2 linked regions of the Arabidopsis thaliana genome follow. The protein of the gene in region 1 interacts with the protein of each later gene in a pairwise test. Each region holds a gene or a part of one and is shown in the gene's direction. Other genes may lie near its edges. The genes, in order: AT5G51150 and AT1G72180.

The links.
Region 2: the proteins of AT5G51150 (region 1) and AT1G72180 interact in a protein complementation assay, tested with the Arabidopsis thaliana proteins (one large-scale study listed by BioGRID).

What each region holds. Positions count from the first base shown.
Region 1 is NC_003076.8:20,787,225-20,791,154, forward strand, and holds the start of AT5G51150 (Mitochondrial import inner membrane translocase subunit Tim17/Tim22/Tim23 family protein), read left to right. Parts: upstream 1-1,688; 5' UTR 1,689-1,809; coding exon 1,810-2,151; intron 2,152-2,323; coding exon 2,324-2,463; intron 2,464-2,602; coding exon 2,603-2,702; intron 2,703-2,795; coding exon 2,796-2,894; intron 2,895-3,051; coding exon 3,052-3,399; intron 3,400-3,509; coding exon 3,510-3,602; intron 3,603-3,706; coding exon 3,707-3,913; intron 3,914-3,930.
Region 2 is NC_003070.9:27,161,289-27,165,218, forward strand, and holds the start of AT1G72180 (Leucine-rich receptor-like protein kinase family protein), read left to right. Parts: upstream 1-1,531; 5' UTR 1,532-1,887; intron 1,888-2,708; 5' UTR 2,709-2,785; coding exon 2,786-3,930. UniProt on the Arabidopsis thaliana protein: Receptor kinase involved in the perception of C-terminally encoded plant signaling peptide (CEP) and subsequent regulation of root and shoot development.

The sequences.
Region 1 (3,930 bases):
GATTCTAACGGACGAAGAACGAAAAAAAAGGAGATGTGTGTATAATTTGCATAACATACACTAGTTACAATTTGCATAAGTAATTTATCAACATTTAAATATCCGTAGAAGATTACATTTTCTTCACCAAAATTGTTTTTGAAACGGTGAAACCGTATAACCATCTCCATTTACTAGATATTGAAGGAGTGAAAATGTACTTATATAAATTTATACCTGGTTGAAACCGTATACACAACTCCATCTCCTAGGTCACGAAGACACGAAACCGAGTTTTGTATAGTGTGTGTTTACATTGGTTGTGAACTGTGATGCGAGGTACCTTGTCGGCTTGTCGCAACTATATAGCTTTTAAAATATGACAACTGAGTCAGAACATCAAATTTGTTGAAGCAAACGTGCTCGATGCTTCTTTTTACAAATGCATGGGTCGACTTCATGTCAACCATTTTTGCGTTGGATCCTTGAAAGCCAAATAGTGCATACCAAGTATGTTATCGTTTCGAACGACTAGTACCAAATGCCCTGACCAAATGTTATCTACGTATCCGATTAGCTACTATCACAAGCCACAACAATATCACAAATGTGCGTCCCAGAATTTCACACATAGCCAACAATTTGGGTTTCGACGAAACCAGTCGCATTTTGTTTTGATTGGTTCTCCCTCTGCCACCCGCAAACGCTGCGTTTGCGGATGGTAGCGGTTGTTAGCGTTTGACACCAATCATAGAAACCGCTAGATACCGCTTGAAATCGCCAGATTTCAAAAGCTCCTTCCCGCAAGCGTTTGCGGTTGCGGGCGGTAGCAGTTAGGTTAATTTTTTTTTTTAATTAATTAAAATAATTATGTCTTCCACCCAAACCGTATATATCTTATTCTTATCAGAAAACCCTAATCAATATATTGAAACCCTATTTTCTCAATTATGGCATCTACCCAAACTAACGAAAATCAAAATCAAAATCAAGAATCAAACGTAAGTATGATCTATCCTTTCATCCATTCATTAGCTAGTGTAATTCTCAGAGTATTTCATGGCATCGTCATTTTTTTTATTTTATATTTTTTTGAGTTTTTTTATTGAATACATGTTTTGATTTGTTTTCTCGATTAGAAAATTATTTGGTCAGACGAGATGACCCGTTTCTTGTTAAAACTTTATCATATGTATAGAGGCAATCCGGAAAACCCACGAGTTCAACATTATTTACAGTTTATTACACTACTTGATGCAATTTTTGGTGATGTACCAAATGCATAAAGTACTAAGCTTTTTCTTACAAAATTTATTTATTTTTGAATTTAATGTTTTGTTTATGGTTTTAATTATTAAGCATGTTTAATTTTCTAATATTATCAATTTATCATAATAATATATTGTATTTTTTTTCTTTTAAAATTAATATATTATATTTATTTTGGTTATTTTTTATTTAATTACTATCGCACCCGCTGGTTTACCAGTCATAAAACTCCCGTAAACGCACCTATTATCAAACGCTCAACCAGTCGTTCAAAACGCTTGATAACGCTTGAAACCGCAACCGCCTGTTTCCGCAAACTCCCGCAACCGCAACCGCACCCGCACACTTTCTGCTTTATGGTAAAAAATAAATCTTTTGGATTATTTTCCAAAAAAGAAAATAAGAAACAAATCAAAAATCATAAAGAAATGACGTGTCATAGCATATCCCCATCGGCTTCTTCCTCACTGCTCCCAACATTTTTCTCTGATTGCATCATTTCATTTCCTTTAAGCAAACGAGCTTGAGAAGCTTTCCGATTTCAATTCCTTTTAATTGACGATGCCTTCTTCGTTCTCCAAGCCGGATTTAGATCCTTCTTCTTCGCCTCCACCGATTTCTCCTTTATCTCAAGACAGCTCGGAGGCTGAGCGCCGGCTTCGAGAAGCGGAGGAGAGGCTACGCGATGCCATGGCGGAGCTTCAGCGTAGACAACGCTCTGCGGCGCGTGGATCTCACGCGGAATTGTGTGATCACGCTGACGTTTCTTGCGTCGCCAATGCCATTGGGAATTTATGTCAGAGCTTTCTTCTCTCTTATGGTGTTAGAGTTGGGATCGGGATTCTTCTTCGCGCTTTTAAGCTCGCTAGGGGACAGTCTTATTCGTCTCTTCTCGATCTTAAGGTGAGGAATTGATGAATTGGAATTTGTTTTTGTGGCAATTTCTGGAGATTTAGAGTCTTACGAGTCTCTGCTTTAGTGTTCCATTTGATACGGTTGTTTTGAAACTATGGCCAATGTGTTATTGACTTATCATTGTATATGCGATTCACTCACACGTGAACAATGGTTGCAGCAACTTGTTTCAGAGAAAGATTTGATAGTTAGGGAGGAAGCATGTCGTATTGGTCTACTTTTTGGTGGCTTTACTGGCTCGTATCATGCCCTTAGATGCTGTTTGAGGAAGTGGAGAAAGAAAGAGACGCCATTGAATTCGTAAGTTTATTTTATTTATTTGTGTTGCCTAAGATTTCGATTGTTGTATCTCTTTTCTTATAATGCTTCTACTTTTTACTTTGTGCATAGTGCTTGAAAAGTATATTCCTTATTATGACTTTGATTAAGGGTGGAGCAGAGTCTTAGCAGGTTCAGTTGCGGGTTTGTCTATCTTGGCTTTAGATGATTCCAACCAGCGTCGCACACTTGCTCTATACCTCTTGGCTAGATTAGGCCAGGTACATCTAATGGTCATAGTATTGTCTGTCGTACAGAGTAATATCACCACACAGATGTTTTTTTCGGAGTCTGATTTTTTCTCTTATTAATAGGCGGCTTATAATTCCGCTAAGTCAAAGAACAAGTTCCATCTTTGGGGTAGCCATTGGAGACATGGAGATTCGTTACTTTTTTCTCTTGCATGTGCTCAGGTATTTGAGATTCTTCTCTTTTCTTCCTGTTCTAGTTAGTAATGGAGATAGTATAGACGTTGAAAGACATTTTTGTGTACCATACGTATTCTCTCCAATGTGATTTGGTAGTGATTATGGTCAGCAAGCTAATTTTGTTGCAATGAGGTCGGTGCAGGTTATGTATTCCTTTATAATGCGTCCTGAAACCTTGCCAAAATCATATAGAGAATTTATTCAGAAGACTGGTCCAGTTGCAAGGCCTGTCTACCAAGCTGTAAGAGAGTGCTGCAGAGGTGGTCCAATTGATGTAGCCTCCTTGTCAGCCTATATTTCTAGTAAAAACGAAGCAAGCGACGTGAAGGTGGAAGAGTTTGCTTCCATCATTCCCTGTGCAGCTATTCATCCAAACACTAACTCGTGTCTGGCCCAAAATGCTAATGCAATGTCAGCTACATTCAAGAAAACATTTCCATTATATTTCTCCCTGACTTTTGTCCCATATGTTGTTCTACACCTACAAAAAGTAAGACTGTCCCTCAATATTTGCCGTTTCAGTCTTTTAGATTCCTATGGTTTATGCATTAGTCAGACATGATATGTAGTTTCTGATGCCATCCTACACTTTCATTTCAGTTCATGGCTTCTCCTTACCGGACATCTTGGCTTGCAATCAGAGATTCAGTTAGATCGACGTCCTTCTTGTCTGCTTTTGTTGGGATTTTTCAGGTAGCTGGTTTTTACATTTGATTTGTGTCCCCTCATTTCATACAATTCACATAGTTTCCTAAAACCATTCCCAAATGTATGTGCCTTCATCCCATTTGCATTAGGCTTTCATATGTGCCCATAGAAAAGTTGCAACCAAAGACCACAAGCTCGTTTATTGGTTTGCGGGTGGTGCAGCAGCCCTCTCAGTTATGCTGGAGAAGAAACCGAGACGCTCTGAGCTTGCTCTATATGTTCTTCCCCGAGCAGGAGATTCTCTGTGGGAGATACTTGTTAATCGCCACCTTCTTCCCGACATTAAAAATGCTGAGGTACAATACAATTACAA
Region 2 (3,930 bases), on another chromosome or scaffold:
TTTTTTTTTTCTTGCAATAGCTAAAATTCCATTTTGTATACTCTTAAAAAAACTATGTTAGTATTATTGATTTTGGCCAAATGTATGGGGGGATTTTTTTTTTATAGTATTCTCATCTACTTTTTGTTTTTGTTATTGACTGTCTCTGATTTCTTTCTCGTGTATTGTCTCACTTTTTAAATCATTATCTTAGATTTTTCTTAATAAAATAAAGAAGCAACATACTATATACTATTCTAACATGTAGGATGATAACCTTGTAAGGGCCATAACTTTATGGAATTTCATTTGTAAGTTTGAATAATTACCAATCGAGTGAAGTGAGCATGAAAACAAAGTGATTCAGTGAAAGGGGTACATTTATAACCACATAATCATCATATACTAACCATTTCACTATCTATTACCGTTTCTAAATATTTTACTGTATTATGGTCCTTTAATTTGTGTTTTAACTTTTAGTGGCTAAACGATGCCATAGGACCCAAGGCCATCACACATTGATATCAATCAGAAAGAGAATAAGCAATTATAAGTTTTCATAATAAATATGTGATATAAAACTTGGAGATAAATCAGAATGGGATTCGGAGCATAAGGGGATAACATTAGAGAGATGGATGTAGAAAGAAAAGGACATTGAGTAGGTTAGACGATTCTTATCAAACTTCACTTAAAAGGGTAATCGACCCAACAACATTTTAGTTCTCTCTTTCTTTTTTGGTTCTTTAATTTTAATTTATTTTCCAGACTGTAAACGAATATTAACACTACAGAAGAAACCAAAAATGTTTTTTTTTTCGGCCTAACTATTTGGGATCAATACGATTCGTTGCTTATTTTTTTCTAGTAACCTTCATAGGTTTCTCCAAGCTTTCATTATTTATTGTAATTGATCTCCACTTTAAAAGTAAAATCCAATAAATCAGCATTTCCTAATTATATACTAGTAATATTTTTTCACTTTTATTTTTATCATCTTATATATAGGAACTATATGAATGTAAATGTTTTCACGTAACGTTTTGGACATATACAACTAGTAGTTGCTACTAATTCCAATAGGAACAATTATCGCTATGACAAAAACAAATATCAAATAAGATTATTTTCCAGACAATGACGTATCATTATAATAATAAATTTTAAAATGTTTTATTACAATGAATCTCCACTTATTATCAATCCATCTAGAAACATTAACCGAAAGATGAATGTTTTTCTACATCCATGAAACTAATTTTTTAGGTCAATGTCTGTTGTTGATCCTCTTTTATATATTAGAAAACTATATAAGCACCGTTGGATTTTCTTAACCTGAGAGCGACGCTAACTATAAAGAAAGATCATCATAACATATTATATGTCAAAATCAGTATAGTCAGATGATTTTTATTAACTTTAAAAGTTTTTACAACTTTCACGAACATGAATTGTATGGTGAGAGAAGCTAGCTAGAGAAATAGTTGATTTTTTGATAAATGATTTAACCTTTTTGGCTCCAAGTCTCGACGACAACTTTCTCTTGTCTCTTCTCACTTCTCTTTCCTCTCTCCTCTCTTCTCAAATCTCTCTCTCTTTCGTATTTCTTGGAGACATCTTTCTCTGGAACTGTTCTTCATCGAATTCTATCTTTTGAGAGAAACTAAATTAAGTTGATAATCGAAGAACTTCCTCGAAATTAGGACTTCTTCTGCTTTTTGTTGTTTCCTAGAGATTTTCCTAGAACGTGGTCCAAGAAAATCACACAAAAAGGTTCATTCCTTTTTTCTTACCAGAAACCACAAATCAAAATCATCTCCCCTGTCTTTGTTTGAAATCTCTCAAATTTAAGAAGGATCATCCATTCACTAACCTGAGATTTTGGATAGGTTTCATCTATTTCAGGTACGATAATTCTTCATTATATTTTGTTTAATCCCGTTGCTTTTCTTGGTTTTAAGTTTTGAATCTTTAAGCCTCACATATTTGTTTTCTTTACTCAATCTAAGGTTGTTTTATTTCCAAAGATTTAAAGGATAGATTCTGTGAAAAAGTTTCTATAAATTTCAAATTTTCAAATGTGTAGGTTACTAGCTCTACTAATAACATAATTACTTTATCCACTAACTACAATCTGCATGACTCATTTTTAACTTGATTGTTTATTTAATTACCTTTTTAATCATTAATCCTTGATAGATACTCAATTCTCAATGTTGTGTTGTTCTTTTTTCATTAAAATTCAATGCTTTTAAAGTTTATATTCACAGATTTAGAAGGAGAGAGAGAGAGTAAAGATAGATCATTTGCTTTACTTTCAAACAAAATAATTAAGAAACTGAAAATTTAGGAGAAGGATAATAAACTTTCTGCACTGTAATGAGTACCTTTAAAGCTCACTTTTGGAGTTTGTGTACTTAAGCAAGCTTAATATGTCCATCTACCATACATGATGTATAAATGTATCACAACTAATTTATGATTTATACAAAACTGTTCACAAATCACATGCACCCATTCTTCTTACAAAATCTTTGCTATGATTGATTTTTTATATATATAGTAATATACGTGCATAGAATATAATAATAATAAACAGTAAACACAATTGGAAAACCATAATACTATGAAAATCCCATACATTAAAATATCAAATTTATTTTGAGTGGATTATTAATTGTATAGTGGTTAGTTTGTTGATTTCATATCTTTATTTTTCTATGTAGGTGGGAATTCCAGTGCATCGACCATGATCAACACCTAAACTACAAATTGACCGTTTTGCCCTTGGGAATCACTATAAATGTCGAGAAGACCAGACCTCCTACGTGGCAGCGTGGTCGCCACCGTGGCTGCCACGTTTCTCCTCTTCATTTTCCCGCCGAATGTTGAATCGACCGTTGAGAAACAAGCTCTGTTTCGCTTCAAAAACCGCCTCGACGACTCTCACAACATTCTACAATCTTGGAAGCCTTCCGATTCACCATGCGTGTTTCGCGGCATCACATGCGACCCGTTATCCGGCGAAGTCATCGGTATTTCTCTAGGAAACGTAAATCTCTCCGGCACCATTTCTCCATCAATCTCAGCTCTCACAAAGCTCTCTACGCTATCGCTTCCATCTAACTTCATCTCCGGAAGAATCCCGCCAGAGATAGTCAACTGCAAAAACCTTAAAGTTCTCAATCTCACCTCCAACAGACTCTCCGGAACAATCCCAAACCTTTCTCCTCTAAAGTCCCTAGAAATTCTCGACATCTCCGGGAATTTTCTTAACGGAGAGTTTCAAAGCTGGATTGGGAATATGAATCAGTTGGTTTCTCTCGGTCTTGGCAACAATCACTACGAAGAAGGTATAATTCCTGAGAGTATTGGAGGTTTAAAGAAACTTACTTGGCTGTTCTTAGCTCGCTCCAACTTGACCGGGAAGATTCCAAACTCGATCTTTGATCTGAATGCTCTCGACACTTTCGACATCGCGAACAACGCAATCTCCGATGATTTCCCAATCTTAATCTCAAGATTGGTAAATCTCACCAAGATTGAGTTGTTCAACAACAGCTTAACAGGTAAAATCCCTCCGGAGATAAAGAACTTGACTCGTTTACGCGAATTCGACATCTCTTCGAATCAGTTGAGCGGGGTTTTACCTGAAGAACTCGGAGTTTTGAAGGAGCTCAGAGTTTTCCACTGTCATGAAAACAACTTCACCGGCGAATTTCCTTCTGGTTTCGGCGATCTAAGTCACCTCACTTCTCTTTCGATTTATAGAAACAACTTCTCCGGTGAATTTCCGGTTAACATCGGCCGGTTCTCGCCGCTCGACACGGTTGATATATCTGAAAACGAGTTTACTGGTCCATTTCCAAGATTCTTATGCCAAAACAAGAAACTACAATTCTTGCTCGCCTTGCAGAACGAGTTTTCCGGCGAGATTCCGAGATCTTA